4 linked regions of the Drosophila melanogaster genome follow. The gene in region 2 interacts genetically with the main gene of each other region. Each region holds a gene or a part of one and is shown on either strand. Other genes may lie near its edges. The genes, in order: sxc, skd, kto and Bx.

Region 1 (7,481 bases), on a different chromosome or scaffold from region 2:
TAGACTTCTACCGAGCCAAATCCCAATCTGTGTTGCGGAAATGATCTTTTATTTAAGCCCTGATTGCACGGTCAACAATTCCAACAATTGAGAAAAAAAATTTAATATAGTGCTTCGCTTTGGATTTTTTAAAGTCGACATTTGTATAGATATCTGCATATCTGTTTCGGACCTGGGTCCGTTCATCGACCCACCAAGCGGATTGCATTGTCAACAATGGTCAAATGGTATGATCCACTTGGTCTAATAACCCCAATTGTCAGAAAATCACATGATCTTTCTGCAATCTCTATGGAGTGCTAAGGTGGAATGGGACGACGCATAGCCAGACCAATTTTTTCGTCATGGTGGGAGTTGACTTCACAGTTATCGGTCGTAGAGAACTTAAAATTTCATTTATCTTCGCGAAGGCAGATGTAAACGGTGACCCTGATGCAACAACACTCCTGGAAAGGATTGAGCTGCGAGTATTTGTCCCTATTCCAAGAGAAACGCAAGTGTCGCGTCGTAGTTTTGCTTAAGGAGGACAACATTCCACCGTTGAGATGTCATTTTGAGCGCATCCAGGAAGTCATATCCGGCGGGGACAGCGTCATCAGAGTAGCTATCAAGAGAGCCGTCGTCCAACCAGTTGCCCCATCGATTTCGATATAGTTGGAACCGTACCTCTAACAACGAGCAGTCATGCGCTTATATTGTATGTATGTGTGACACCTCCTGCAGCGCTCTTCGGGTAACTATTTTCGCCCTTATTTCTACTCTGGCTAAAAATGTTGGGTTATCTATTCAGCTATTCGAAATCGCTACAGAAGCCTCGTCTGTTCATTTCTTTAAAATAGCTAATAAAAAGGCTTCTTAGCTCAACATACATGATACAAAATTTTCAACAAATTTAGTATGCCGACTTCCCCAACTATCATATACCCGTTACTCAGCTAGTTGAAATTGCGGCAGTTTTGGGCGGCTTAAGGCGTTAGAGTGGGTGTCTCAAAAATTTTTTGGCAGATAGATAGAACTTTACAAGACTAAAAATGTTATGAAAATATATCCAAAAATTATTCAAAAATGTGGGCGTGGCACTTTTGCTCGGTTTTAGGGCGTTCGAGTGGGAGTGGAAAATAGTGTTTTGGCAAATCGATAGAAATTTACAAGACTAATAAAATTATAACAAAATATCCAACAAATTTTCAGTCTTGGGCGGTTTTAAAGCCTTAGAGTCGGCATGACAAATCAATAGAAATTTACAAGACTAACAAAATTATAAAAAAATATCTAAAATTTTGAAAAATTGTGCGAGTGGCAGTTTTAGGGCTTTAGAGTGTGCGAGGCAACAATTTTTTTTTGCAAATCGATAGAAATTTACAATATTAATAATAATGTAAAAAAAATCAACACGTGTTTTTAAAAGTGTGTGTGCGCCTTTGTCCCTAGAATCTGTATGCTGAATCTTAACCTAGCTTTCAATCTAGCTTTCATAGTTCCTGAGATCTCGACGTTCATACGGACTCGGCTATTGGTCCCTGATCAAGAATATAAATACTTCATATGGTCGGAAACGCTCCCTTCTGTCTGTTATTTTTTAAAGAATATTTACGAATATAACAAATATTCAAGAATAACGAATTTTTTAATATTAACATTAGCAGTATAATTTTAAATAATTCAAATACTGTAAGCATATATAATTTCCAAATGAAAAATTCTTAAGCCTCAATGCATTTTCATATATAATTATACAACTGCTTATACTTACCTGCGATTTTCGAGAACGGTGCAACGTCGTGGTCGGATGGGACTTTAACGTGTGGGCCGCTCTAGTGTGGTCGCCACACACAACTCCCAAGGGCAAATTAAATCTCGAAACATTCGCTAGGCTGGACGTTCAACAGTGCCGTTGCAGGATTAATTATCGACCTCACGTTCATAAGCAGTCCATTCGCTCGCTTCTCCTGTTGGGGTATCAAGGAGGTGGTCACAGTCAGTGACCACGAGGCGATCCAGGTCGAAATAGGCACAAAGGCAATCGAGAGCAGGGCTAACACGCAGTAACCTAAGGCCTACCGACAGAACACCATGAGTCTAGAAGAGTCCGCCGGCATTCTCCATTACCTGACGGTCAACGAGGCGAACTTGTGATCGCAGCAGCGGATAAAATAGTAGCGAGGGTGGAGGAGGCCTGCGGCCAAAGCATGCGAATGAGGAAAACGAACCGAAGGCACCACACCCTGGTTTTCTGGTGGAGCGAGGATATTGCCTTGCAGCGCATCATCAGCCTACGCGCAACGAGACTCGTACAAAGAGCTCGTGGCACCACGCGTCTGGAAGCATGCCATACGGAATACAAGGTCACAAAGAATTCACCGAAGAAAACGATTAGAGCCAGCAATCGTGAATGCTTTCTGAAAGTCTGCGTCGCAGCAGAAAGCGATCCATCTGCTCTGGAAAACATCTTTAACGTTCTGTTCCTGTTCGGTCTGCCATTCCCAATTCCCAGATCGGGCCAAGCGGAGACGAATTGCGGCCTGTCACGGAGCCCGAGATCCTAGCGGCTGAGAGGAGTCTTAAAACCAAAACGGTACCACACCCGATCGCATCCCAAGCAAACTACGAGAAACAGTGCTATGTTTGTTACCGCCTAAATTTGAAGGTTTTTTTTTTGTTTTACCAATTATTTTTAAAATATCCATGAGATCTGTTACTAATTTTTTTATTTCGATTGAAAATCATTGTAGTATTTAAGTTTAGTGAGTAAAATAATGAGAAAGTGTCAGAAAATAGAGAAAAGCTGGGACAAACACGAAATGTGCTTATGATGCTATTATTGTTACCGCAACTGTAATAAAGAGAGTTTCTTGACAGTCTTAAAAGCGTGTAAACTTGGAATTTGTTGTTTATTTTCTTGTATATTTAATATTTTTAATTTGTTTTTTGATTTATAAGTAAAATAAATATTGTTTGATTATATTTTATAAAAAAAATTGCGTTTAATTAAGCAAAAAACCCTTTATTTTTAGCTTTAAAGTCAAAAATTCAACTTATTTTACAGTGTGTAAACAGTTTCTTGACAAACTGTATGTGATATGTGATTCTAGAGACATAGGCGCCGCGCAAGTTTGTTAACCCATGTTGCCATGTGCAATCCAACGCACACATACCGGACAAAACTGCCACGTCTACACTTATGTAAAATGTTTTATTATTCTTTCATATTTTTATTTTCTTTTAAATTTCTATGAATTTGCCAGAAAACATTTTGCCATGACCACTCTAACGCTAACAATTTCAAAATGTTTTGAAATTTTTTGATTTTTGTATACAATTTCTATTAATTCGCGGCCACGGCCCTTCTTACACCTTCCAAACCGGTCAAGACCGAACTTTTGATCAATTTGAAACAATTTTGTTCTTATTTTATATCCCAGTATTTAACGATATCCCAGAAAAATGATGAATGAATTTCGTGTTCCCATTTTCACGAGCTGACTAACGGTTATCTGATTGACTCGACAATACCATTCTCTCTTCATTTGAAATTATATGTGGTATATCATTGGTATAACATTGATATTATGTTAATATGGTTTTTGCCGCCGTAAGAATAGGGTATAAGCTATTAAGTTGCTGTTCACAGTGTTCAATATTTGAGTATGTAAATATTTGATTTTCTCTTGTAAATCGTATTAACAGCTGAGTGGATGTTTGAAAATAATTAAATCAGGTTGCTTTTATAACTTAATGCAATTCATATTGATATTTTACTGATATTCTCTTTCTTAAAGGTTTAATCATGTAAACAACATCACAGTGTCTTTACTTAAGGGTGGCTTATTGATTTTAGACACATGTTATCAACGTTGGATTTTAATGCATGTTGAACAAACACGAATAAATATGCAGTCTCAAGGACAGAGCCATCAACTGCCGTCCGCGGCCCATATATTATTAGATCAAAATCCGAATTCAACAGGCAGTAACCTAGTCGTAAAACAAAATGACATTCAATCTCTTTCATCAGTCGGTAAGAAATAACCATACATTTATATATGTATGTACATACGTTTGTAATTGATTTTTTTAAAGAATACATCTAGTTAAATACTTTATACATTAATGCAAATGAATAAGTTTGACAGCGAAGACAACCACAATTAAATTAAGAAAAATCAATAAATCAAACAATTGGTTATGCCTGGCCCGAGATAGATATGTGTCTAATGTGTCTCATATTAACAACATATTAAGAGATGCATATGGTGTACGCATCTAAAAATTCACACAACATAAAAATCAGTGTTCAGTGTCTGAGCTTATTTCGTGTAGTTAAATTAATTTTTATGTTGGCATTGCTTCGATGAAAGATACCAGAAAAATGTAAACGCAATATTTTTGAAAGAATTATTGACATGGTTAAAAAACAGACGATTTCCGTATTCTAAATGTGCATCCCTCATTAAAGCCGTATCTTGTAAGGGGTATCTGGTAGTCGAGAAACTCGTCTATAATGTTATCTCTCACTCCATCTAAAATTAAATTTTTTATTGTAATTTTTTTTTTTTCTGGCTTAAAGCTTACTTTGCACTTAAATTTTTTTTCGTTCTGCTGTAGCTTGCACGTTTTTCCTTTTTTAAATTTTTGACAACATATATTACATATATGTACATATATTATTTGGTATTCATTGAAAAGTTCTTCGGTGCTTTTCGGCCTTCATTCAATACAGTATTTTCTTTTAGGGAGAAGCTTCCGCTTCTCCGCGAAGTTGGATCAATCTCGGATATTAAAATTAAAAAATTGTTAGGTTTAAAATGGCCATTTATTGAATATTAACATACTGCACAAAATAAGCTGCGGCATAAAAAACACCTTTTTGTTTTCTAAAACGATTAGAAAATTGCTTTTTTTTTATATAACAAATTTAAGAATCCGGTGCTGAAATACCTTATTGGTTTGAAACCTCTAAACTGTACGAACAAACTACAGCAGACAACTTCGGATGTGTCCTTTGAAATTTCAAGGGTTCGTTACCCTGCATATCCGTTGGTTAATCTGCACCAATTGAAGTGCTTAACACTAGTCTAATTTGTTTAAACTGTATTATTTCTAGAATATCATTGACTGCGTAGTGAGAGATCTTGAAAACTCATTGACTCGGCCCATTTTAGGGTAGTCCTGAATCTGGATGTGTATGATCTATACCTGTATTTCAATCTGCATACATATGCATGTGTCTGCAGTTCTCAGTGTGTGTCTCAATCATCTTTCCTTGCTGTACCTGAGGAATTATCTCTTGAGCATAGTATCTAGTTGCCTTCTCTAAAGTATGAAGCTTATACAGATTACTTCCTCTGATAATTGCACGAAATAATATTCAGTGTGAAGAAGGAAGTTTAAAAATAAGTTTTGTTTTCATTTTATTATTTGCCTTGCTATGTTTTATTGATTTAAAAATCTGTTGCGGAACTCGACCAAAGGGTACGGCCAAAGACACCAGAATAACAAGATGCGTAACGCCATTCGATGTGGCTCTAGAGCACTATGGGGCATTTGGCCTGTTTTTTTTACAATAATGTGTTTTTCACAAGTATGCAAATTTGAAGTATTTTAGTATTAATACATTGGAAATACGTTAAACTGTTATGATACAGCCCGCAAAAGTTAATTTTACAATGCACCGTTATAATAACAGCTGTTAAAGTCGGCTGTTGCGAGCATATATCACGTGGCTGCTTTGCGCGCAAAATTTAGCTTAACTTTCAAAGTGTTAAAATTTAAAAAGAAGAAGAAGGAGAGTATAATTTGAAATAGATAATCAATCTTTAGGTTTTTATTATGTGTTGTTATTAATATATTGTTTATTGTGTGCGCCTATTTCTAACAATTTGTACATTTAGCAAGTGGTGTCAACATGTAGTTGTTTGAAAAAATTTTAAACTTTGAATAGAGCTACAACAATTTGTTCAAATTTGTTCAGTAAGTGTTTATATCCATGTTGTAGTGTGTTCAATTTCTAACTCATATCAGGTAGTCTCTATGTGCGTTTTTTGCGGTTTCTTGAGAAATTTCATTTTTTAGGGAGCAATATCTCGATTTCCAATGCTGCCCTGCTGGAAGTGTGGCGCAAGCAAAAGGTTGTTCGTCAAAAGGAAAATTCTATTTGCACTTTTATCAGTGGGCATATTTCTGATAGCAAGCTAGACTTTAATGAACGATTAACGAATAATATTAATAACGAATGATTTCAGTCAATCTTTTGCGAAATTGGAGAAAATGCAATCGAAAAATAAATGAATTTTTGAAAGTTTTTCAAATTGGTTAGAAGAACACCTAGTCCTGAAGGTAAAGGAGAAAAATAAAAAGGAAAGGAAATTAGCTGGACTCCCGAAAACGTCATATTATTTAAAAAATTTGAGTGGCCGAAGACAGCAAGCAGATGAACTCGTAAGGGCGCAGAATCACAACGAATGTCTTTTGGTTCAAGCTGTACGGAAGTGCTGCCTGCGGGATCTTGCAGCCATACTTAAAATTCTTTTGTTGAACCCAGCCAAAGCAAAAACTATTAGTAGCTTCGCAGATGTCTTTTACAGAGCAATGGATACTACGGATCCCATAATATCATCAATAAATTTAAAGAGGCGAAAACATAAGCGACTATCTCTTCCACCAGAAGTCATTCAAATGTTAGCTTGCGAATTTGAACCTGATAAAAATTCTTCAGACTCTGCCGATTGTGAAGAGGAAGACGGTTATGAATTATACAATATTGAAATTAAAAATAAACTTTAAAAATATATTATTAAAAAAAATTATAATATAATATATTAAAAAAAAAAAAAATTGGGGCGGAGTTGGGGCACGGCCACTTTTTCAAAATATTCCTGGAGGCATGTGTAACGCATAAAAAAAAATTCATCCAAATATCTCCAATAGTTTAGGAGGTATTAATTTTTGTAAAAAAAAACAGGCCAAATGCCCCATAGTGTAGAGGTGGCTCCAGGCTCTCTCGAATTTTAGTTCGAGAGCAAAAGAGCTCTTTTCTACGCATACAGTGATAGCAGACAACTGTATGTGTGCACACGTATGCTCATGCATTGTAAATTTGACAAAATATGCCCTTCACCTTAGAAGTTCATAGATATTATCTATCTATATTATAGATCTATATTATTTTTATATATATATTATTTTTGATCTATATATCTATATTATTTTTGATCAATTGGCATCATGCGGAAAATTCTTGTTTTGCTTGCCTTAACGTCATTATTATTTAAATATAGCTTAGAAATAGTTATAGCCGAATCATAATGTCACAAAATAAATTTCAAAAATGACTATATTAGAATATTTGTCATTAGAGTATTCAGCTTGCGACGTGTGAAAAATTAATAAGGCATTGTTGAGTGCTTGTGTAAGCAATTTAATGTCTTCTTTTTGGAAAATTTATGTTTTAAATTACAGTAGTTATCATACTTCCTTTGCAT
Region 2 (7,533 bases):
GACTTGTATTGTACGCATTGTCGTGTCGTCGTCATCGCCTCCACTTCTTCCTCGACTATTTCATTCGGCTTTTCTGTTTCATTTTTTCGGCTTCTGCGTCCCCTCTCATTCTGCTATCTCCTCCTTTCGACGCGAGATTCATTAAAGAAATATGCCAAAACGGAGAGACAATAGCACAATCACTAACTAGCTGGGCCGACAAACTAGTCGTCAGTCGTAGTCCCCGAGTCTTCAGTTTTCAGTCGCGGGTCTTGGGTTTTCTGTTTCGACTTTGGGTCTCGGGGAAAAGGAGAACCTGTTATGGGCCACAAAGTCACCGAGCCGCAGTCACAAAGCTACCCACAAAGTCACAGAGCAACAATCGCTGTGGGCTGCCACAAAGTCACCCGTTTTTACTGCTACAGTAAACACCCGGATTCTCCTACTTTCAGTTACTACAGGTTTATAGAAATAACAAGTATCGTGAAATTTACTATGTTGGAATGAACGTGTCCGAAAACTGAAAGCTACACGCCTCATACTAAACATTCTATTTAGATACTCCAAGAGCTAAGTGTCTTGACAATCCACATGTTTAAAATTTCAATGAGCATTTATAAAATGTATATTTATAATTGTGATAATTAAATGCAATACACAAATTTAAACGTTTTAAAAAATGGTCAGTGAATTTAACACTCTACCAAAAATTCAGTACCGTTTTGATTGCTTTAAAAACAACAAAATTACAATTTAGTGATTAAACTTTGGCTATTTAATGATTTGTTGGATATCAACATACCAAAAGATAAGTAAATTACTTATTAAACACTGAAACATCACAACATTCAAAATTTTTGTGCGTACATTGCCCCAATTTTATGTATAAATATTAAAGAAGAGAAGAGATTGCCAATTGACCCTAAGAATGAAATATGACATCATAATGTAAAACATTAGAAATGATAAATAGTTCAATATCTGGTTTTAACATATTTTCGTGTGGCTGCATTCATGTTAAGTTTCTGTAGGATATTTGCGAAGCTTCTGCAGCGATAACGACAAACAGCTGTGTCTGACCGGCAGCGCCTACATTTCGGCTACCAATCGATAAGAGTGTGAGATTACGAGCGAGAGAGGGGTGGGGAAGAGGATGATCCCATGATCGGTAATGTAAATTGTTGTTTCTGAGTGGGTGACACACCCCCGCAGGCCAATGAGCCCCCTCGAGAACAACCCCTCCTGAATCATCAACACTGACCTAGATACTGCAGCAAAAAAAAATAAAGCCCATTGCGAAAAATAAGAAACAATTGCCCAGAAAATCAACACAGTACTCACCAAGGCATAAAAGTTTGTGTGGCAATCCTCCAAACTTGCGCCGTTTGTCTGATGATTTTGATGCGTCATAGTTCTTGGCTTGTTTTCTTCGCACAGCAGCAGCACCTCATTTTCTCAACGTTGTTTGCTTATAGTGTATTGCTATTATTGTTATTTATCCGATGTGTTGTTATTTGTTGTTGATTTTGATACTCTGTAGTATTTTGCACATTTGCTTGCTGCTTTTTCTGCTCTTTTTATTTTGGATTTTTATTTTTTATTATTGATTCTGCTGCACGCACACAGCAATACTCTCTCACACACACACACAACGGTATAGGCACGGACACACACGCGAGAGAGACGACACACACGGATACACAAATAATGAAGAGCTCTCTTTCGTCTCGTTTCTTTACTTTCGATATTTTGTGGTTGTTGTTGTGGTGTTAGATTTTGTTTGTAATTTGCTATTTGATGTTTGGTTTTGATTTTTATTATGTGTATTTTGTATTTATCTGCTCTCTGGGGAGAGTATGTTAGCGTAAACGTTGCTTTGGCAATGAAACACACATACTGTAGAATTAAGCATGTTGCTTTTGTTGTTGTTGGTTAAAGCTGGAATATAAGAAGAATTAGACTTTGAGCACACATTTTTCCCGCTTGGCATATGTTTTCTTTTCCGAAAGAGATGCATTTATTAGTTAATTTTCTTATTGTTTTAACTTGCTTATTTGTTGCTACACTCACTCAATCACACACACACATCTAGATCACAATTACAAGGGTTCGTTCATTCGCTGTTTCATTCATGCAAAAAGAGAGCAAGCAGAGAGAGAGAGCGACTCAGAAATTGACTTTTTTCAGCCACAGGCAGCGAGTATACACCGCACACACACATTTACTTCTAGAAACACACAAACGACGATGAAAGTCGTTGGATTTTCGTTAATCGTTGATGTAGACAAAATAAAATAGGTAAGAGTTTTCGGCTGTATTCGAATTCAAACCCAACCAATTTATGTTTAATCAAAAAGAACTACACATTTATAGAGCGCAAATCAAGATGAGTAATCAAGGAAAACACCAACACATGCACTCGCACGTACTGTGAACACACAAAACTCGAAGCTGCGACTATTTTTTGGTTTCGAAAAACAACAGTAGCTCAAAATATTTATTAATATTTAATCTATTACTCAGGCTTGAATTTCTTGCGTTGTATTTAGTGTTTTTTGCGCACGAATGACGAGTCAGAAATTTTCGAACCGACTGCGAACGCTGGTCGCCACACACAATGGAAATTTTGCTCGCCTAGCTTTGAATCGGCCATATATATGGTATATAGCCAGTATGTAGTGTAGTTGTACCAGCGGCGAGTGGCGAGAGAGCAGAAGAGGGCGAGTAGCGGCCGAATTCGAATAGCGGCTTTTGCTCTTTTTGCTGAGCAGAGAGTGAGAGAGAGGAGAGAGGGAGAAAACAAGTTTTACCAGCTAACTGCATATGCATTGGTGTGCGTGTGCGTTAGTGGCGTCGGCGTCTGTTTATCTCGCTCTCGCTCGCTCTTTGTGCATCTCTTGGGGATGCAACCATTTTGAGCGAGAGGCAGACAGAGAGAGACCGAGCACATAGATCGATTAAATTAAGGGAAAAATCTCAAACTAAAACGAAACTCGAAGGAAATCCGAAATTCCATAAATTATGCACTATACAACACTACATAGCACACACACGCACGCAAATATGTAGAGTGCGAAACGTGATACATAGACGGGCAGCAGCATTCCTCTCACACACACACGCATCAACCATACACCTACATGGCAGAGCAACCACTTTCGTAGTTTTCCTTTCGCACCGTTTTCTCTGTTTCTGGGCAGTAATGTGTGTGTACACATCAAATTTTCTGATTTTTACTTTCGGCCACTCGAAATAGCCGGAAAAAAATGCCATCGATAACTAAAATCGCACAGTTGTTGCATATTCCTCTTTCTTACACTCTCCTCCTTTTCCACCTCTTTCTTTCAATCACACACACACTACATAGGCACACCGCCGGGGCAGCGACCGCTAGAGCAATTAAAAACCATTAAACATTTCCGCTGCCAATGCTTAAACACGTCTTGAAAATCATTTAATGATTTTGCGCCACAATTATTTGTCAAACAACGGCACTTGGGCATTATTATTTATATTTAATTTGCTGCACCTCTTGCACGCATACACGCATACAGCACACACGCACACCCTCTCACTTCTCGGGCAATCGCTTTTGCATTTGCATTTTTGATCACTTTTCTACGTTTTAATCGCCGTTTTTGATGTTCTTTCCGACTACCGATGTAAACTTGTCTTGAATCTTTACATTTTGTGCCACTTTATCTATCGCATTCGCATACGGAAAAATCTGCGATCGATTTTTATAACAATTCGCAACAAATATGAGGGAAAACTTGCCGTCGGCGGCAGAGCCAGTGTTGCCAGCTAGCACAGACAGAAAACTACTAAAGAGGTGGCACAAAAGCACTAATAAATACCACAGAACACTAAGTCTTCACAATGGGAAGTTCAAAATATACAACAAATTAATACTTCTTAATTTAGAATGGTATATTTTTTAAATTATTTGTTCTATGTCTTCAAAGGTATTACACATCTTATATATAAATAAATAAAGGATCTCTTAAATTTAATTTAATAACGGTTATAGAAACCTTTTAATGAAATGGTTTAAGTGGTGCGAATGCGTAAAGTGATTGGAATGAAGTGTAAAATAAAAGATATTTTTATTCTGTTTGAATCAATTCCGTCAACTGATTGTTTGATCCTTCTTAAAACAAATTTTTTTAAAGGTGAATACAAACTATAATAAATTGTACAATAGAAGAATTTGTAATCTATTAAAATGGAAACAAATAAGTGTTTTGTCACCACTAGCATCCAATTGCATCGCTAACACCAGCCACTTGTGTTCCCATCCCTAAGAGTGACCGTACTCCCCATGGCCAAAAAGTGTGCACCGAAGCGGCGCTGCCGTGCGAAAACCTGTTCCCGCTCAAGACCGCCGTTACACACCCCCTGCGCCGCCTCCTCGGAATTCCATGACACTGCGTGGGGCAATAAAAACAAACAGAACGCTTGGCGGCCACCTGAGAGCGGAGCAGCGACCAACTGTAAAAGTGGGCCGCCCGGGAAGAAGAAGAAGCAGCGTAGGCAGCAGGTGACGCCGACAGCGACGTCGGCAGAGACGCAAGCAGCGACGGACCTCGAAGATTTCACTTTTCGACGAACGATTTAACTGAGCGGAGCTAAGAAACGCGATTTTCATACAAGCAATTGAAAAAAATAGTCGTGTTGTAGGCGAAAATAACTAGAAAATGGCCATGTACCGCGCCAGTGGGTTAAGGATTATGCAACAGATGCGACGCAGGATTCCCGTCGAACTGCAGCCACTCCAAGTGGCCAAAGCTGCGCCTGCGCTGCAAACTTTCACTTCTCAGCGCTGGACTTCGACGACGACGACCAGTGGAAAGCATGCCAGTCCACAGGTTACGACCCCGCCCCCGAGACACGACTGGAATAGGGCGGTCAGCGAGGCGGAGCGCATCGTCGGCTATCCCACATCCTTCCTCAGTCTGCGCTGGCTGCTCAGCGACGAGATCGCCAATGTGGCGCTGCACCTGCGCAAACTGGTGGGCAGCGCCCATCCGCTGATGAAGACGGCCAAGTGAGTGGTGCTGAAGGGCTTATAGGGCGTTGAAATTTATGTGAATCTTCCGCTTCAGGCACCTGCTCTACAATGGCAAGAACACGATGCAAGCCTGGGGATTGATAGTGCTCCTGGTGTCCAAGGCCGCAGGACATGCACCCAGTGTTCCAGACGTGGAGCAGGACAAGAGTGCCGGAGTGCTGCACTCCCAAAGGGCTTTGGCCGAGGTCACCGAGATGATACGGATATCTCATCTGGTGCACAATGTAAGTTTTTGATCAAATGCATTCGAAAGTTACTCGTAAACTGAAAGTGGTTTGTATGCAAATGAGTTTAACTTTCCTCAAATTTAGTTGACGAAACTCAAGAAACGAACATCAATATGTCATTGGTCGAGCTGATGCCTCATAGATTATAAAAATATTTACACTTGGTCCCATTTTAGAGCGTGGTTAATCTGCAATCGAGCACGCAGGCTGGGCAGGATGTGGACACCTACGACGACATGTCGTTTGGCAACAAGATCGGCCTGCTGACCGGCGACTATCTTCTGGGCCATTCCAGTGCGGAGCTGGCTAATCTGCGCAACCAGGAGGTGGTGGAGCTGATCTCGTCGGCGGTGCGAGATTTTTCCGAGTCGGAATTCATTGGAGAGCGTGATGAACAGAACAACCCGCTGCCTTATAAGCCAGGAACCTTCCAGCGACCATCTCTCAGCGTTGGAGTGGATTTCAACGAGCACGACGTGATGACGCCAATGCCGATTGCCCAGGTTCTCGGCAATCCGGAGGAGGAATGGGAGTGCCGTAATATCCTTAATGCGGGTAGCCTGCTGGGCAAATCCTGCCAAGCTTCGCTAAAGCTGGCCGGACAGAGTGAGGAACTGCAGCGACATGCTTACCGCTTTGGCAAACATTTGGCGCTCGCTTGGCAGGCTTGCTTGGATGCCGAACCTTTTCAGTGCCCCCAACTGCCGCTAGATGTTACTTTCAGTCTGGTTAGTGCTCCAGTCCTATTCCACTTGGAGCACGACCCTGGCATGTATTCTCAATTGGAGGCTGGCAAGCAGTCGGTCGATAACATCGACTACGACAAGATCCACAAGGCCATTCTGGCCGGGCCGGCTTTGGCCAAAACCAAGGAACTGCAGCGGAAGCACACAGCCGCTGCCCTGGCCGTTCTGCAACATTTCCCGGCGACGGACGCTCGACAGGCTCTGGAGAACATCATTCTGGCCATGCAGGATCTTTGATCCCGAGCAGCAGTTACTGATTTTTCACGGGTTCAGGGCTTAGGTTAGTTGTATTTATTCCGTTGGGTAATTTTTCAGTAAAGCAGACGTTGTTGACTAATCTTTAATGATTCATTTAAAGTAAAGTTTAAATGCTTTATTTTTCTGAACTTCAAGTAATACTTGGTGCAAGGTCACAAAAATATATTTTGTAAATCGTCTTGTATCGCAAAAGTTCATTTTTATTATAAGGGAAAATATAGTTCGTCATAAAAAAGGTTGTATGTTCATATTTACATAACATAGAATTGGAGGATTTGGAAACATTCGAGACTGTAAGATTTTTTTCGCAGCCTTGAAATACAAGGCAAGAGTCCCAATTTGCAGCCAATAATTTTCCAAAAAAAATATCGTCACAATCAATGTTATTAGTTTAATTCCGGTGATATCTCAACCTAACGTAACAAAGCCATAATTTAACTAAATTATTAAGGTACATCGAGGGGCCATTTGAATCTAAGAAGCGGAACGTCTTTATGTGTGATTTACGCATTTTAACGACTGATGATCTTCATCAGAACCAGTTGCTTGCAGCGATCGTACTCGAAATACTGGGGGAAATCCAGAGGCAGGTGCTCCATGATCCACGGCTTGTTCACCGTCTGCCGGATGAGGTACTCATACATGGGAGCCACCGAATCGCAATCCTCCAGTGTGAACACATAGCGCTTCTCCAGTGCCATGTATATCGTTTTGGGTCTCCCAGTTTGGCGACCTCGATCCAGGAGGTTATCCAAGACGCAGATGAAGGCATCGGTTAGCGTATCACAGTAGATGACATCGGCAGCTAGGATTATATCGCTATTGTCTATGGCCTCCAGCAGATCCTGCGAGTGATCCTCTTTTGAGGCGAGAAAATCAAACTCCAGAACTGATATCGTAGCGCGGAGGAGTTTTGAATTTCTTTGGACATTGCCGCGGATCAGCTTCAGTATGCATCCCAGGTCCACATCCGTGCAATAGATCCTTCCGTTATTGTGTATTCCGGCGGCAATGCTGGTCAGGCCGACACCAGCTCCCAGTTCCATTAGGGTTTTCTGGGAAAACTCATCCTTTTTGGAGAAAAGGTAGTCTGCCAGAAGAAGGGCTCCTCGCCACACCTGCAAGCCCACCAGCCGGAGCTCCGTGGCCTCGGAATGTTCCAATTCGATCACGCCACGTTTCGGCCTTGGCACCTCAAGGTCGCCGTCTTTATCCGTCCTAATCCCCGCCAGCTTCTCCTCCGGATAGACGA
Region 3 (7,366 bases), 1.2 Mb from region 2:
TCACATTATTACTGAGTAAGAAAATACTTATATATGAATGCAATTGTATTTACATTCATTGTACAATAATTGTAATATGCAAAAATATCTTATTAAACAAATATTTAACGTCAGAGAAATGGCGATTCAGTGTAGGCTGGTTCGCCTGTGTCAAGAACTTTCACCGAGAAGAAGTTGACAAAAGAGAATCGAGAAAAAAACAACAAAGGCGGCCCACGCAGAGAATGAGAGAGGAAGCGAGAGAGCAAGAGAGACGTGACCATATGATTGGCAAAGGCGCTTTTGGCATTTGCCGTTGTATTGGTTTATTGATTTTTTTGTCCGTGTTTTAACACAATTCTTTTGTTATGTGCGCTGCCGCCCGCTCCTTCACCCCATCACCCTTTCTCCCACCCACCCTATATCATTGTTTTTGTTGTAGCTGGCGCTCGTCACTCACCTGGAAACTGTAGTACATCTTCACCACCCACTGATGATCGGCCTCGACCAGGACATCGCGCTCGGCTCGTACGTGTGCCACCTGCTCCTTTTCCAGCATGTCCGCTTTGCGCAGCACCTTCATGGCGTACACATGTCCCGTGTCCTTTTTCTGCACCAAACGCACTTCACCGAACGCGCCGCGTCCGATGACTTTGAGGGCCTCAAAGTCCTCCACACCGAGGCGCAATCGCTTCAGCCGGAGATACTCCGTCTCCTTCTGGGCATGCTGCAGACGCTTCTCCTGGCGCTGCGCCTCCGACAAGCTCTCGTCCTTCAGCTGAGCCTCCAGCTTTGCGAGGCGCTGCTTTCGCTCGCCATACTGCGTCACCAGGTTGCTGTAGTAGTTCTCCAACGTCACCTTGGCCTTGGTGGCCTTGTCCAGTGTGTGGTCGCTGAATCTGATCGAGGCACCGTCCGCGTCCTGCGTTCTGCTGCTCATCATCTAAGCTGGGGTTTTTGTCCTGGTCACCTCGGTCCTATTTGGGGCTTGTGTGTGTGCTCCCTGCGATGTCGGTGCGTGTGCGTGTGTGTGGTGAGGAGTTATGCACTTGCCAATGCACACACACTGCTTTCTTCGCCCGTTTCTTGCCTTTTTCCTCGGTAATTTGTTGAAATTCCTCCCTCTGCTGCTTCTTCTTCAAGAGCCATTCGCATTTTGCATCCCCAACAAAGCAAAGTTGGCTGCGATCCAGTGGGGCTATCGATAGCTAATCGATTGATTTTAGAACTTTAGTGCTTTTGGCTCGCAGATAGTCATGACAATTAAGCTTTCACCGACAATTGTATAAAATTTATGTACTGAAATTACGTTACTTATTACTTACATTGATTTTTTTAATTAAAATTGATTAAATTTAAATTTATTTAAATTTACTTTAAGGTCATGTTATTATTTACTGTAATTCTATTAAGAAACAAAGCTTAAACAATAGTTAAAATATCTTAGCTTTAACCTTTTAGCTTGAATCTTGCCAAAAGACTCTTACTTCGAAAATTGTCATCACTGCCACCAGTCCAATTAGTAAATAAATAGAACTTACCGACTTGGGATAAATTTTTCCATGTCAGGCGTACATAAACCAGTTGCCTTTGCTAATCTGGCCATTTGGCGCCTGTGACGGTCCCGCGCAATGAGCATAGTCAGCTAATAATGGCCCGCATCACCAGTATTCTGGACTTGGACCCCAGTTCTCTGTTGTTCATCTTCAAGCTTCTAAGCTTGGAGGACCAGTTGCACTTGGCGCGATGCTGTCGCATTTTTAGGGATGCCTTTCTTCGCCTGCATCGCCATGATTTCCAGGATGTTGTTGACAAGGATATGAGTATAAGGACTCTGGAGGATTGGCGCACCTTTCTGTGGCTCTGTGGCAGTCGCATCGGTACACTGGAATCCCACTTTGACGATGATCACCCGCTGCAGCTGCTCCCGATGATCAGCAGACACTGCTACCGACTGAAGTCCATCTCTATATACAATGCAACAGTGGCACGGGCGCAACCGTATTTATTGAGGATGAGCTCCCTGGAAAAGGTGCACGTGCGTAACTACAAGAGCACCAGCAAGGATCTAATAAAAGCCATTGGGATACACCTTCCGCGGGTCAACAGTCTGAGCCTGGAGAGCTTTGAACGCAAGGAGTGTAAGAACTATTTAATGTTCACCTTATCACAACAATATTATTTAATTGCTTCTCCCTTCACAGTACAAGAAGTACGTCAGTTTAGCGAGATGCTGGAACTTGGCTTGTACGACGACGTGACCGCCTCGGAATTCGCAACAATTGTGAAACCCATGAGGAAGCTGCGATGCCTTCAGCTGCGCAACGCCAAACGCTTTCTGACTACCAGCAATCTCAGGATGCTGGCCACCAACTGCCGCCACCTGGAGAAGCTGACGTTCAATGACTGCGACGCCGATCTGTTGGTCCTGCCGCAGTTTGTAAACCTCAAGTACCTGCAATTATACTGCTCGGAGGATATGAAAACGCGCCTGTTCAAGGCACTGGCCAAAAGCCAGTGCTCCATTCAGTTGGAATACCTCATCCTGCACCGCAAACGCTGGATTGACGAGGAGCAGGCGCAGTACATCAGTGCTTTGAAGTGTCTCCGGTGGCTGGTCTGCAAGCCTCGTGACGATCTGTGTGTTCACCACTTGGCGAAGTTGAGTCGATTAGAGTGCCTTTCCATACAGTCCGCTCGTGAGATTGGAGAAACGCAGCTCTCCCTTTTGGTGGCCAACAATGAGCGCCTTCGGTATCTGAACATTTGCTATTGCCTGGGCATCACAGACGCCTTCGTCTTGGACACGCTGGCCAGCTTATCGAAACGCTCAGCTCATCAAACCCTAGAGCTATTTGCCGCGGCCACTGACATTAGGCATGACATCATGGAACGGGTGAGTAATATTTAAAGCACATACATATATTCGAAAGTCCTTATGTTAATGTGACACTTTGTGCTTCGTTTGCAGCTACCGCACGAATTTCCCCTGAAAATGCTCTGTTTGAACTTCGAGTGCAGCGATGGAATGACAAGCGGCGGACACTTTTATGCCGATGAGCCGGAATTCGATCGCCAAGCCTTGTGAGGCCTTATTCGTTTAACAACGAATGTTTCTTCAATCATTACCAAAAATACAACGTAAATTATTTAATATTTATACGCAGCTTTATTCGTGATCTTACCACTTTGAGTGGTATTTCTTTTGTTAGTGCACAACGATGTAACTTTTTCACTGCATAATTAAAAAATTACGTCATATTTAAAGTACTGTATCAGGTTGATTGGGGATGTGTGGCTGAACATGATAAGATTACATTTGTAATATTTACAACCATTTAACACTTAGCTTAAATTCGATTGCATCCGCTAGATTGTTCGCGGGATGTTATCGAACTATCGATGGCTCATCGCATTTTTTCGCCCCACCACTGATATTTTGATTTGTTGTTGGGTTGGCGAACAGAGGAAATCGGGAATTCGCTAAGAAAATCTGTTTATAAAACGCAACTAGAGGGCCGCGAAGATGCTGTCCATGCTGCAGGAGAAGCGTCCGCTGAAGCGCACCCGTCTGGGTCCGCCGGACATCTATCCGCAGGACGCGAAGCAGCGAGAGGACGAGCTGACGCCCACGAATGTGAAGCACGGATTCACGACGACGCCACCGCTGTCCGATGAATTCGGTACGGCCCACAACTCGAATGTGAACGCCAGCAAAGTGAGCGCATTCTTTAGCGGCGTCCTGGCCAAGAAGGAGGAGCTGATGACCCTGCCGGACACGGGGCGCAAGAAGCAGCAGATCAACTGCAAGGACAACTTCTGGCCCGTTTCGCCGCGTCGCAAGTGTACGGTGGACGCCTGGTTTAAGGACCTCGCCGGTAACAAACCCCTACTTAGCCTAGCCAAACGGGCTCCATCGTTCAACAAGAAGGAGGAGATCTTCATTACTCTGTGCGAGAACCAGGTGAACATGCAACGCGCCACCTGGTTCATCAAGCTGAGCGCCGCCTATACGCTTAGCTTCACCGAGTCTAAGAACAAAAAGCGATCCATTTACGACCCGGCTGCCGAGTGGACCGGCAACATGATCAAGTTCATGAAAGAGCTGCTTCCCAAGCTCCAAGAGTATTATCAGCAGAGTGAGTACAGTCCTTAAGTTCTATAATCTATCAACTCCCTTATTCAACTTCTTGATTTTAGACCACGACAAGTCCTCTTCGAATGGCACCACTTCCGGAAGCCTGACCGCCGCCGGTAATGGTCCTGCCAGCAATGGCTCCACTGGCACCAGCTCTATTAACTCCGTCACCGGTAGCAGTGCTTCCACGAACGTAATCCCGGTACCCAGCATGGCCAGTCCACTGCCACCGATTCATAGCCCAGCTAATGGCCAACAGGCAGCTCCTGGCGGAGGAGTGAATGCCGGCAGTGTCATGCCGACGACGGGAAGCCTTGGCGGAGTAGTCGGTGGGCCGGGGTCTTCTGTGGTAGGAGGCGCAGCGGGTGCAGGAGCTGCAGTTCCACCAGGCTCTACAATTTCTGGAATTGGAAGCCAGTTCGAAGATAGTCGCAATGCGCTTAAGTATTGGAAATACTGCCACCAATTGAGCAAGTACATGTACGAGGAATCACTTTTGGACCGACAGGAATTTCTAAACTGGATCCTCGACCTTTTGGACAAGATGCGTACGCAGGCAAGCTTCGACGAACCGTTGAAGAAATTGGTGCTCAGCTTTGCCCTTCAGTACATGCACGACTTCGTCCAGTCGGAGCGTCTTTGCAGAAAGATGGCCTACATAGTGTCCAAAAAACTGGCCCAGTTGCTGAACACTGTCGTAGAACAGCAGACCATCAAAGAGTTGGACGAGCCGAAGTTGCAACAAGATCCCTATGAGCTGGCGCTTCAGGAACAAATGAGTTGTCCCCATCATCGGGATATAGTGCTGTATTTAAGCACGATCCTACAGATCATCACAATCGAGTGCCCCACAGCTCTGGTCTGGAGTGGGATAGCAGCTCACCGAGCACCCTCCTCGTTGTTGGGTAGTCCGCTGGACCATTTGCCTTTGGCGCCCTCAGTCTTGCCGATGCCCACACGCTGTCCGCGAACCAATCACGAGATTCGACGTCAATTGCGGGCCGCCGAGTCGGACATCGTATTGCGCACTCAGCATGCAGAGCAGCGCTGGTTTGCAGCCAAGTGGCTGAGTGCCGGCAAGAATCAATACACCAGTGTGCTGGCTACACTGGACCACTTGGACACGCACTGCTTCGATCGCATGGAACACAATAATAGTATCGATACCCTATACGCACAAATATTTCCCAGCCCAACTGTCAGTCGCAGGCGGGAGGAGGATCAGGTGGAACCTCGTCCGCCTTATGAACCCAAACAAGACAAGGACACGGTACGCATTCTGTGCGAGTGGGCTGTGTCGGGGCAGCGTTGGGGAGAACACAGAGCCATGGTGGTGGCCATTCTACTTGACAAGCGCCAGATCGACGTGACAAGCACGCCGGCGGATCAACAATCCAGTGATAAGGATGACAAGGACTCGCTAGCTTCGGGCGCCGGCTTAATTGATGGCCTGCCTGTGTTTCAGCACGTGTTAATGCACTTCCTTGACCACGATGCTCCCGTCCTCGATGAGCACGTGAGCAGTCCACAGCAGCGCACGGAATTTACCAACCTTGTTCAGCTGTTCAGTGCATTGATTCGCCACGATGTCTTTTCGCACAACGCGTACATGCACACTCTAATTTCACGAGGAGATCTGCTCCTGGAGTCGGTGCTGGTGATCAAATCAGGAACAACGGCCACGAAAACATCGCCGCCACCTCCAGCTCCACCACCAACGACGACGCACGGTTTCGATGATGACGGATTCGGCGGGGGCCTGGACTTCAAACACAACGAATTTGATGATTCCAATGTGGACGACGATTTGGACAAACTGGTGCAAAATATTAAGGAGAAAGGACAACAGCACGAAGCTCCAGACAGTCCCAAGATTGGTCCTCCAGGCGATGGAGAAACCAATCCTGGCGGTAGCATATCGCGGCATTACGTGTACACCAAGCACTTCCCCATCCCCCAGGATGATCCCAGCATGAGCAGCTACAGCAGTGAAAGCAACCAGCGATACATCCTGCTCTTCGGAGTCGGCAAAGAGAGGGACGAGAAGAAGCATGCTGTCAAGAAGATGTCTAAGGAAATTGGAAAGCTTTTCACAAAAAAGTTTAGCATAGATGTGGCGGCGGCCGGTCATGTGAAGAAGCACTCGCGCAACGAGTTTAACTTCGAAGCTACCACGTCCAAGTGCCAGCAGATGGCTTATTTCGACCAGCATGTGGTCACAGCCCAATGTGCGGCCAATGTCCTGGAGCAGCTGAACGGATTCGCGTTAGGGAACAACAACTACCTGCCGGTACAGGAGCACGTGGCGTTCCTCTTTGATCTGATGGAGCTGGCTCTTAATATCTACAGTCTTTTGGAACTGTGCGATAGTCTGTTGAAGGAGTTGCCTGAGGTGGAGCACCAGTTGCAGCTAAAGAAGTCAAACCTAGTGCGCAGTTACACCACTTCACTTGCCCTCTACATCGTCAGCATCCTGCGGCGCTACCACAGCTGCCTTCTTCTTTCACCGGAGCAGACGCTGTCTGTTTTTGAGGGAGTCTGTCGTACCATTCGGCACGTATCGAATCCGAGTGAGTGCACTTCGGCGGAGCGCTGCATTATTGCCTACCTGAGCGACCTACACGAGTCGTGTGTTTTGCTCCAGGGAAAGGAACAATCCACGGAGTACTACCAGCAGCTGCAGTGCATCAAGCGGTTCAAGGACATATTCAACACTCCAGAGCAGCTTGAGTGAGTTTAGATCGCAAGTTCTTCCCCAATAATATAATATATAATATTAACAAATATTACCATTTTTTATTTAGCCTACCACCTCAGGGTTACAACCCACTGTTGTTGCAGGAGCTTTTCATGGCCCCTCGACGCGGTGGTAAACTGGATCCTCACTGGCTGGGAACCCTGCACGAGTCGCCGGCCAATGTATACAGTTTCGTGTCTAACGCATTAATAGCCGTCTGCCGAGAGACGGACAACGAGCGGCTGAACGATGTGGCCCTCGCATGTGCCGAACTGACCGCCAGCTGCAACGTCTTGTCTGAGGAGTGGATATACGCACTGCAGAGTCTGTGCAGCGGCAGTAAGAGTCCGCGTTATCCGCACCTGGGCGGACAGGTCGACATTGGACAACTTAAGACTCACAACGCCCTGGCCGTGTTCGTATGCATTCTGGTGGCCAGACATTGCTTCTCACTAGCCGACTTTGTAAGTAAGTTCGCCCTGCCTACATTGGCCCGATCGGTAAGCGCTGGT
Region 4 (10,356 bases), on a different chromosome or scaffold from region 2:
TTATACCACTGACCGGAATACGATGAACCGCCCACCAGTCCACCAGCTTACCAGCTCACCAGCTCACCTGGCACGTGAAATTTGAATATTGATTGGCTTTAATGAGTGTCGTTGGTCGCGCAATTAGTTTGGTAAAGGCTTTTTCGGTGACCGGGGGACGGGAATGTGGTGGGCAGGAAGGAGCTTAGGGGAGCGGAAATGAGGGGTGCCCAGGGTGGTTCCACAGACGGAAGAATTCCGGATTTCCCAGCCTGGGGCACTACGAAATCAGAAGTGCGTTTAATGAATAATGTGTAAAATAATAATTATAATCGAAGCCTTGCTTATATGAAAAGACAACGTTTAAAGCTAAAATAATAGAAGACAACTCCGAACCCTTGGACAAACATGTGTTTCAGTTCTTGATGGGACTATTGCTCTAATTGCCCTAACTTACTTCACTTTCCCGAAGAATAGGAGAAATCCTTAGTGGACCATTGTTAGGCACAAATCAGCGCTGGATTTAAAGACTTCGATCGTGGTCTAACTAAACTAATTACATATCAGTCAGTCAGTGGGTGAGTCAATCAATCAATCAAACTGCCAGCAGCAGCAGCGAGATCATTTGCCAGCGGCCTATCTCTGCATCGTTCCAAAATTGGATGCAAATTGAAAAGCATTTTGTGGGAATGTAATGCATAAATTAATTGAGCGTCCCCAGCACACAGAGAAAAACCGGTGGGGGTGTTTGCCAAAACTATGAAACTGCAGTAGGGGGGGTTGGGAATGTGGAAAGGAAGGCGGTGGCCTGATAAAGCATTCATGCAGCCACGCCCACTTTGGCAGTGAATGGGCGTTCGCTGGTGGCAATGCAATTGAAAATGAAATTCTAATATGGACGCGCGCTTTTCCGAGCAGCGTTTAGCATTCGATTTCATTTGTCTAAACTAAATAACAATGCAGTCTGCGCTGCCACATTGGCGTTGCATGTTGCAGCTGCCAAAATTGAGTTTTGATGCGCTGCATACCCCATACCCCATACCCCATTTCCCATTTCCCGGCCTGCACTCCTACGGTCCACCAGTCCGGTCCTGTTATTGTTTGAAACGTCGCGTTAAATTTACATAAATTGATTTGATTGAATTTTTATGAGTCGGCGGCGCAGCAGTCCAGTGGCAGCCACCCAGGCATCCACTTGCACCAACCCATCTGGCATTCTGGATGCCCCCGTCGACTGGCCGGCGGGCATCAACTGCTGATGACTTTTCGACCCGCCCTCCGACGACTCACTGGCGATGGGAGGGGGCACGTGGGTATTGGGGATCGGAGGCGACCGTCTAATTAAAGTCATTTCCAGCAGCTGCATAACCCCTACACCCACAACGCCCACTCTCTGGGCCGTGGTCAAGTCGAGGTCACAGTTGGCGCTACATGGCGCAGGGCTTAATGCGAGCCATTTGGCCCGGTTGTCCGGCGATGGGCAACGGACAGGGGCAACGGACAAGGGACGACAACGGACACGGACGAGGGCAATCAGCGAAAAGAGAGGCGGCCAAAGGCAGAACCAGACACGGCACACATTGTGTGTACAACTTCTGCGGCGGGCAAAGAATGATGCACTGTGAAAAATAAAATGTGAAAGTACTTAAAGTTTCTACTGAAACTTTGAAGAGATTCGCTGACAGGCAGATTATTTTAAATTCCAAATAAGCTTCTTACTTTGTGCCAAGGACATTTAGGAACACAATTATCTCTTGTTTTTATATATAAATATTAAATATTATTTGTTGTTTCTTGAAAAAAAAAATGATGCAATGATTCCCCGCATTGTTCAGTGTAGTGAGTGCATTGCGGCATCGCTGGCATTGCATATTTTTAGGGTTTCCTCGCTGCTTGCTGAAATTTGCACATTGCAACAAACTATTTAGCGTTGGCAAGGGATGGGGGGCGCCAATTTGTCATAAATCTCGTTATTTTAAATCGCCGCTTGGCATTCCACGAAATTGTGTATGGGTAAATGGGCCTTTTGTTTGTATTGATTTGTTGTTGTTGGCTGCTCGCTTTGCTGGTTTCTGTTAACGTCAACGTTATCGGGCGACAACAGTTGAGGATAATACATACATACTATGTTGGGGGCTACGAGCACTATTTGAAGAGAGTCCAAAAATATGGGATATTATCGTAATTGGCCAAAAAAAAAAATTCCAAGTTCCTTAACATCGCTGGTTGAGTTTCTTAGCAAGGTGCTGAACGAAAGGAGAAAGTACGAAAAACGATCGCTAACTTTTTATTGGGTGATTAGCAGCGGGTCATTCAACGAGGCTCGTTGGTCTAGAGGTATGATTCTCGCTTCGGGTGCGAGAGGTCCCGGGTTCAATTCCCGGACGAGCCCAAGTGAAGAAGTAGTTTTTTTTTATTCAGCTGAAAATATGTCATGAAAATATGAATATTACACCATTTCATTGTGGAAATTGCATTTTCAAAGGGGTATTAATATTTTGCATAGTTTGCGAATTGTGTGCGAATCCAATGTGCACTTTAGTGGTCAGCCCAAAAGTATGCTGCATAATAGTGATCTTTTGTACACTGACGCCATCGCAGAGGCGCGCATTTCACAACACTGTGCCACAGCTGATAATTGCCGTTACATTTTGCCAGTGGCCGACACTTGAAGAAATTTACAATAAGGAAAATGCTATAAAAAATTTATTTGATATAACAAAAATACAATTACCAAACTATTTTTATGAGTCCAATGCATTGATTAGTGCATCTTATTTACAAAAGAGCTATTTTCTTTTGAGAACTTAGTAGCATACGATAGTTTACACGCCATAAAATGTTATTTTGTTTGTGTATTGCCAACACTGCCAACACTGCTAGAAGAAGACTCAGTAGCTTTCTGATCTTTCGCGGGTCATTTTTGTAAGAAAACTGTTGAAATCGAAGGAAACAGGAAAACATCGAAATGGAGTACCTCTACAACGCTAGTATGCATTGCGAAGATGAAGAACGCGTCAATTTCTACAACATGGACAAGTTCTTCGTGCCCCACGTGCAGTCGATTGAGCTGGAGCAGCAGGCGATCCTGCGGCAATACGTGCCCCAGTACGCTTATCAGTGGCCCTGGGGATTTGCCCCTTCCGCTTACAGTTATTACCAGGGATTCGGTAGCCTTAATGTACACACACACACAAAACTCCGGCGATGGAACCTTGAGTAATAACTATATCTTCTCCTGTCCCCTTGCAGATGATGACTATGGACATTACCAAAACCGAACCCGGTCTCGTCGGGCTTTCCTCCAACCAACAGCAGCAGCAGCAGCAGCAGTCGCAGCAAAGCAACGCCGGCATGAACAGCGGTGGCCAGAACAACGGGCCCAATCCCAATGGCAATGGGAACGTGGTCAATGTGGTCAACTCCGGCGGTGCCGGTGGCGGCAACAATGGCAACGGGAATGTCCAGAGCATCGCCGCCGCTGCCAACAATAATAACAATAACAACAACAACGGCAGCCAATTGTGCGCCGGCTGCGGCAAGCACATCCAGGACCGCTATCTCCTCCGCGCCCTGGACATGCTGTGGCACGAGGACTGCCTCAAGTGCGGCTGCTGCGACTGCCGCCTGGGCGAGGTGGGCTCCACGCTCTACACCAAGGGCAACCTGATGCTCTGCAAGCGGGACTACTTGAGGTTAGCTGCGATTTAAGAAATACTAAAACCATTTGATAGTGTAATATACCTAGAAGTATAATAGACGATGGTATTCATTAGTCATGTTAGAAGTTAAAAATGATACCAATTCTTGAGAACTCAGGTCTATAATGCTTATAGATAAAGTATTCATTATATTCTGTGACTTATTTTTAGTTTTATAAGACTTTAAGAAGCTTTCTTGCTAAGAGTAATTTATATTTAAACAGTACCTATTCTACCTAAAGCTTTTTTTTACGCATATTCAATTTAATAGCAAAGAGTAAAGATGTTTACTTAAAGAAGTCAGAACCATGTAAACCATATAAACTTCAAACTTTTTACTAATCTGTTCATAACTTTTCCCCGCAGATTGTTTGGCAACACGGGCTACTGCGCCGCCTGCAGCAAGGTGATCCCAGCCTTCGAGATGGTGATGCGTGCAAGGACCAATGTCTATCACTTGGAGTGCTTCGCTTGTCAGCAGTGTAACCACAGGTGAGCATCGAAAGGAATTTGGCCAAACTGGCCCATTGCCCCATTGTGGGGCAGACCATACATCATCCATTGTGTGGGAGAAGCGACTAAACGATTTCGCATGCATTTTTATGGGCAATTTGCACAGAGATTCGCATTGAAGGTGGCCACATGAATCCCTTTTTAATCTTTGGCCCATCGGAGCGGGCCCAAAGTGGCACTTGAAGTTTTATTAACGTGCCGCCAGACAGCAAATTGCCATCGTTTACAAGCTAACGGCTAAACAAACGGGGTGGGAAGAATGGCCCTTTAGTGTCATACGTTTTCTATGAAAACCGCATAAATTTCGCATTGAACAGAACGAACCGAACGAACCGAACCCTTTTGGGTGCCATCAAGTCAACGCCCAGCATTCCAAGGCCTCAAATATTTTATTGGACTTGGCCAATTCGTGAAATGTCACTCTGGAGAGCTTTAAACTGCAGCCCGATTGCCCGGTGGATGGGGTCGCGTCTCATTCTTCCATTTTGGCCGGTTCGTTTCGTTTGGTTTGGTTTGGTTTCGTTTTCGTTTCGGGTTTCTGCATTAATAATGAGGGCGCACATATGCCTTCGTGGCTCCCGGTCCACCAGAAACCTCCGGCATAGTCGTCGATTGTGCAACGCAACAAGGGAGCGAACATTAAATATTAAAAGCGCCGCCACACGGTGCTGGCTGGTAAAAAATATTGAAATAAATGTTATAACATATTGGCATATTGTGAGAATCGTCTCCACCCGTTTGGCCACCGCTCCTTATCCGGGAATCTCCCCGCTTTTTGCGCTCCTGCTGGCCCTTTGTTTTTGCATTGCCGAGAATTGGCTTTAAAAATGCAACAGGAGCAACGAACTTGGAGAAGTTCACCCTTGCGGAGATGCCATTATGGTTAACTTTTGACTTTTCTATAATCCTGTTTACGCTAGAATAATATAATATAGAACTAATGCAAATTTAGCTTAGACTAATATCAAAAGATTGAGAGTATGATGGGTCATGGTTATCCCATATTTCACCACGTTATCCATAAAAATGACCAGTGGAGATGCATCCCCTCCTGTTGCTAATCAATTTTTCACGTAAATTAATTCAATTGCCGAAAAAATCCATTGAGGCGTGGCCACATGGCCAGCGGCTGCTTCGCTCCGCCTTGTTGGTTGGTCGGATGGTTCGAATGGCCACATTTAAAATGCGGGCTTTCATTTGGCAAACAAAAAGACTTTTCCTGTTGAGTCCTACCGCTGAGTCCTGGGTCCTGTTGCTGTTTGGGAAATGCTGCAAAATGCATTGCAGTCGTCGGTGAGGTTTGCATAATTTCCTGTCGTCAGCACTGGACGACGACATCCTTGCTCTCCTGCGATTGGAGTCGCATCCAAGTCAAATCTTTCGTCCACGCGAATTTTTCACAATTTTTTTTCCCCCCCATTTTATTTTGGTATGTGTGCTTCCTGTTGACAATTTGCTGTTGGTTTCTTGTGAACGACGGGGAATGGAGCCGGAGAGGAGGCGAACGAAATGCCCGGATGTGCGAGTCCCGCACAGAGGCACTCACTTATCAACATGTCCGTGTCCATTTCCATAGCCATCACCATTGCCATCGCCAATGCCAATGCCATCGCCATCGCCATCGCCATGTCACAGGTGCGCTCAATGCCAGGCCAGCGGCAAAAGAAGCAAAAGTTTCGACTTTGTTGACTCGTTTTCATGGACTTTTGTTGCCCTGTTTTGGTAGATAAACAAAGCGCTTTTTTGCCCGCTCCGGCCGGCCAGATTTCTGTGCACTGCTCCCTGCCACGCCCACATGGGCCGTCAATCGATTTGGCCACGCAACCGAAAGCAGCGGGCCAACAAAATGTTGACGTAAATCAAAAGCCAAATTTCATATCCGCTGTAAGTCTGCTGTAAGCTGATTTACTCAGACTCCTTACCAAAACGGATGCAGTGTGTTCCCGTGCCCCGTCCTCCTCGGGGAATCAAACTTTAAACGTTTCTTTTTTGCATACGCCGGCGGAGGAGGAGGGCGTAGAGTATTGCATCAGGATAGCAGAATATGTGATGGAAAGGATGGATAAAGTTCGAGGCAACTTGCAAGTTGTAGCGGATAAGAAAGTAGTAGTAGTAGTATCTCTAAACGTTTACCCCTTGTCTTTTTTATTCTAAGGAATAAGCACAATCATCGTTGGTCTTTCTCACTTTTCAATACCAGATCTAGCTGGTTTCAAAGGACATCAACTCGTCTGCTCAACGCGACTCCATCTCATCCCCAAGTGAATCGTATTCTTTTTTCGGCTTTTTTCGTTTGTAATGCGAGCTCCCTTTCGGTTTGCATCGAGTGTATCTGTTTGCTGTTGGCCGGAGTGGGCGTGGCATCCGCCTCCGCCATCCGTACAGGTGCTAACATAAATATTTTGACAAAGGGCTCCATGCCGGGAGCCAACTTTATTTGCAGTTGGCTGAATGTACACTCTCGACTCCGTACTCCAACCGAAGTGGAGCCAGCACTCCAGGCTCCTCTGCTCCAGACCCATGCTCCTGCCACACCAACTGTTGCTGACAGCGGAGCGACATTGCCTAGCGCTTATCTGACTTCCTTGTCCTTGTGCTGGTCCTGTTTCGGTCCCGCCCCGTCTGCCATTCCCTGAGTAGCTGTCCTTGTTCTTTGGAACCGTTTTGCTTTTGTTTTTAGACGACAGTTCCTGAGTTGCCGGGCTGGCTGGCAGCTACAGTCGCCATAACCGCTGTCAATTGTCATCGCTCATCGTTGCTGTCGTTGTCTTTGTCGTTGTGTTTATGCCTTTGATTCCCCCCCACCGATTTCTGGGTCTGCCTAAGCGTGTGGAAAAATCGTTTCCACTTCCTTTGCGACTTGTTGTGCCGTAGTACTAACCACTGCCGTTTTCCGGTTATTTCAGATTCTGTGTGGGCGACCGTTTCTACCTGTGCGAGAACAAGATACTCTGCGAGTACGACTATGAGGAGCGCCTGGTCTTCGCATCGATGGCCAATCATCCGATGCTCAAGCGACACGTCTCCTCCTTGGGCCAGGGCTCACCGACGGGAGCGGCTGGGGCGCAGAATACCGCTGGTGGATTGCTGGGCGGCGGACCCGGTGGCGGCAATGTGAATGGCGTGGGCATGGTCAACGGACCGCGCACCCCTGGCGATCACAATAACAACAACAATGGCCCACAGACACCGACCGGCGGTGGCTCACCGTTTGCCGCTGCTGCTGCTGCCGCCGCCGCCGCTGCCCATATGAAGAATCAACTGGGCGCGTCCAGCTAAAATAAAGCCCTGGGCATGGGTGCCGCTGGGGCTGTTGTGCCGGGATCTGGAGTCGGCGCTGGAGTTGGAGTTGGAGTTGGAGCGGCGAGTCAGCAATTCTACTCGGGCTTCGGGCTGCAGCATCAGCACCAGCATCAGCAGCATCACCAACAGCAGCAGCAACAGCAACAGCTCATGGGATTGGGCCTAGGAATGGGCGGCGGTGGAGGAGTAGGAGGAGGAGGAGCAGGATCCGCCGGTGGACCAGGCGGAGGGGCAGGAGGAGGAGGAGGCGTTGGCAGCATCGGAAGCGGCTGCAAGCGCTACCAAAGAAAGTTTTACAACCGCAACTGAGGAAATCGACGGGCGAGAAAACGCTAGCGGAAAGGATGCAGAAATCCAGAATCGATATTCAAATCTTCGTTTGCTTTGACTGAGTTCAAGTTTTATAGTTTTAAAGGCCTAGTTTAGTTAGCCTACAGAAAAGTACTTGCTGAATTTGCAGACATTTTTAGATCCTAACATTTAAGAGACAATATGTTTACTTAGTTCTATTCGAGAATAACCGCCCCATTTGTTTTTAAACTAGTTTTATTTTCGTTTCCACTACATACTGTACATATTTTCCTTGTAAACTGTTGACGTATTAGCGGGATCCTTTTTTTTTTTTTACATACTCCATATAGATATATTCGTATTTATCTATGTATATGCATAAATAATTTTATTTTCACGCTCGAAGCGTGCGGTGCCAAAAGAAATTCAAAGCAGTGCCAAAAAGTTAAAAAAAAAAAAAAATAAACGAAGGACTAAACTGATGAATGTGGAATGAATGACAAGGGCGGCCTGGTGGAGAGAATCGGATTTGTGGACCTGCGAAATCGAGAGAGCTAAACATCCCCACCGATCACTGTTCGATTTTCCATGTGTCCTTCGAATCCGAAGGAGCCGCAGGATCGTAGAGTAGAGTCAGATGAAGAGAGATAGATGATGAGGAGCTAGAGGAGCTAGAGGGCAATTGGCAAAAGTGAACTTTGATGTGTAAATATTGAGACATTCTGCACACGACTTAAGCACACATGATTTTTGTTCTAATTCCATTTTAAGTCTGTTGGAGCAACGTTGTTGATTATTATTTAAGTTTAGTTTAGTGCGAGGCTAAAGAATGTTCTTTCCACGGCGAACGTTGTATAGAAGTAGCTGGAGCTGGATGATTTCTAGATGGATTGTAGATGAGGTATGATGGCCAGATCCACGATGATCCAGCGCGTTAGATGTAAAGCGCCTAAGATAGGTCGATGTAAAGTTAAGGATTTGTGTGCGTGCGTGTGTATATCTATAACCAAGCGAACTAGTTACAATATGGATGTATTTATTAATCCTTTTTTTTTTTTGCAATCTAATGTAACACTAATCAATATGCGTAATTAGCGTTCGAAAGGAGCTAGCGAATATACTAAGTACGGGAGAAACCAAAGTGTGTGTATAAGCAACAGTCTATCATCTACGAGCGATAAACAATACTACCTATCTATCGAATTACCGAAACTATGTTAAATATCGTAATAATATCTAATAATCGGAAATAAGTAAGAGCGATTATCCAATATTTTTTTTTTTGTATTGTATTGTTAGAGAGCAGGCATAAAGTTAAATCAAAAATATCTAAAGTGTAAGATAAACCCGCTTAGACTTATATATACGTGCATATATATACATTACAAAAACAAACCATAATCCGAGTTTTGGCCGGCAATCAGTAATAATGAAAGCAGCCAGAACGATTGCAAGTGAAAGAAATCAAAACTAAAGAGAAACGAGAGAAAAAAAAACATAAAAACAAATGCAAATGCAAAAACAAAAGGAAACAATAAATGTAATTAACAAACATTTGAAAAAATTAACCCGCACTTGTGTTGGCATTCATTTCATCGCGGGCCAAGGGATTCCTACCATGGTATAGTATGGTATATGGTATATGTTATGGTATGGGGTTTTTTGGGATTTGGTCCTCTTTACCACCACCACCACCCCCCCTCCCTCCAATTGCCAATTGCAGTTTGTCGCTTGACATTTGTTGACTCTTTCGCTTTGACGGCCATTAATCACGGCATTGTTGCTGCCAATTTGAAATCCACAGCCCAGACAGCCAATCCGCACCAGAACGGAATGGTATGACGTAGTGGAGTGGTGGAATGGCGGCCTGATAAATGATGCCTCATATTTTTGAGCCCCGGGCACCGTTCCGCAATTGAAATAATAAAAGCTATAGCCGGAGCTGTGGCTGAACCCCTCCAGCTACATCAATAGCTACAGCCACATCCACATCCACCACCCGAGCCATTGATTAATGAAACTTTAAAAGGGAACACGCGTCTTTTGTCTGCGACGACCGCAAAAACTTTGCCATGGAGATAGCGCATCTTTTCAATATACGATGCAAAAGTTTGCCGTCTTATTCGATGCGGATTGGGATCCAAGGAGCCATCAGCCAACAGCCACCATGCAGGACCAAGACGACGATGCCGATGCCGATGCCGCCGCCACAGGCCATAACAATAAAAGTCATTTATAGATTTCGATTTCGGGCACATGTGAGAGGAGGACGCCCGATGGGGGGACTCCTCCCCTGCCCCTGGGGGGCACCACTATACAAGGATATATATAACTATAGTTTTGGGCTGCTTATCAGCACTTTTGGTCACAGGACACGAGGGTGGGCTGAGAGGGTGGATGATTTTGGTTTCTTTTGTCTTTGGCTGGTGTCATAATCAGTATCAGTGTGCTTATGAAAATGTCCTTTGTTGCCCGAAATGCTTATCAGCATCGCCCGCCCATTTTCTTGTCGTCGCCATAAAAATCTATAAAAATAATGTTTCAATTCGGCATGGTTGGGTATCCTGGG

The links.
Region 1: of skd (region 2) and sxc, changing one enhances a phenotype caused by changing the other (phenotypic enhancement), as found in Drosophila melanogaster (one study listed by BioGRID).
Region 3: of skd (region 2) and kto, changing one enhances a phenotype caused by changing the other (phenotypic enhancement), as found in Drosophila melanogaster (one study listed by BioGRID).
Region 4: of skd (region 2) and Bx, changing one suppresses a phenotype caused by changing the other (phenotypic suppression), as found in Drosophila melanogaster (one study listed by BioGRID).

Annotation. Positions count from the first base shown.
Region 1 is NT_033778.4:5,303,635-5,311,115, forward strand, and holds the start of sxc (super sex combs), read left to right. Parts: upstream 1-3,653; 5' UTR 3,654-3,864; coding exon 3,865-4,018; intron 4,019-7,481.
Region 2 is NT_037436.4:21,023,632-21,031,164, forward strand, and holds the start of skd (skuld), read right to left. Parts: upstream 3,804-7,533; 5' UTR 3,509-3,803; exon of another isoform or gene 3,297-3,508; intron 2,574-3,296; exon of another isoform or gene 2,499-2,573; intron 1,918-2,498; 5' UTR 1,390-1,917; coding exon 1,321-1,389; intron 1-1,320. Other genes in the region: Pdss2 (decaprenyl diphosphate synthase subunit 2), read left to right, coding at 4,677-5,026, 5,085-5,274, 5,454-6,260; CG10584 (uncharacterized protein), read right to left, coding at 6,794-7,533. UniProt on the Drosophila melanogaster protein: Component of the Mediator complex, a coactivator involved in the regulated transcription of nearly all RNA polymerase II-dependent genes.
Region 3 is NT_037436.4:19,833,171-19,840,536, forward strand, and holds the start of kto (kohtalo), read left to right. Parts: upstream 1-3,443; 5' UTR 3,444-3,505; coding exon 3,506-4,118; intron 4,119-4,179; coding exon 4,180-6,847; intron 6,848-6,921; coding exon 6,922-7,366. Other genes in the region: trc (tricornered), read right to left, coding at 440-922; CG32221 (uncharacterized protein), read left to right, coding at 1,631-2,120, 2,184-2,875, 2,951-3,067. UniProt on the Drosophila melanogaster protein: Component of the Mediator complex, a coactivator involved in regulated gene transcription of nearly all RNA polymerase II-dependent genes.
Region 4 is NC_004354.4:18,563,465-18,573,820, forward strand, and holds Bx (beadex), read left to right. Parts: upstream 1-2,841; 5' UTR 2,842-2,947; coding exon 2,948-3,160; intron 3,161-3,231; coding exon 3,232-3,674; intron 3,675-4,046; coding exon 4,047-4,172; intron 4,173-7,099; coding exon 7,100-7,472; coding exon of another isoform or gene 7,473-7,805; 3' UTR 7,806-8,262; downstream 8,263-10,356.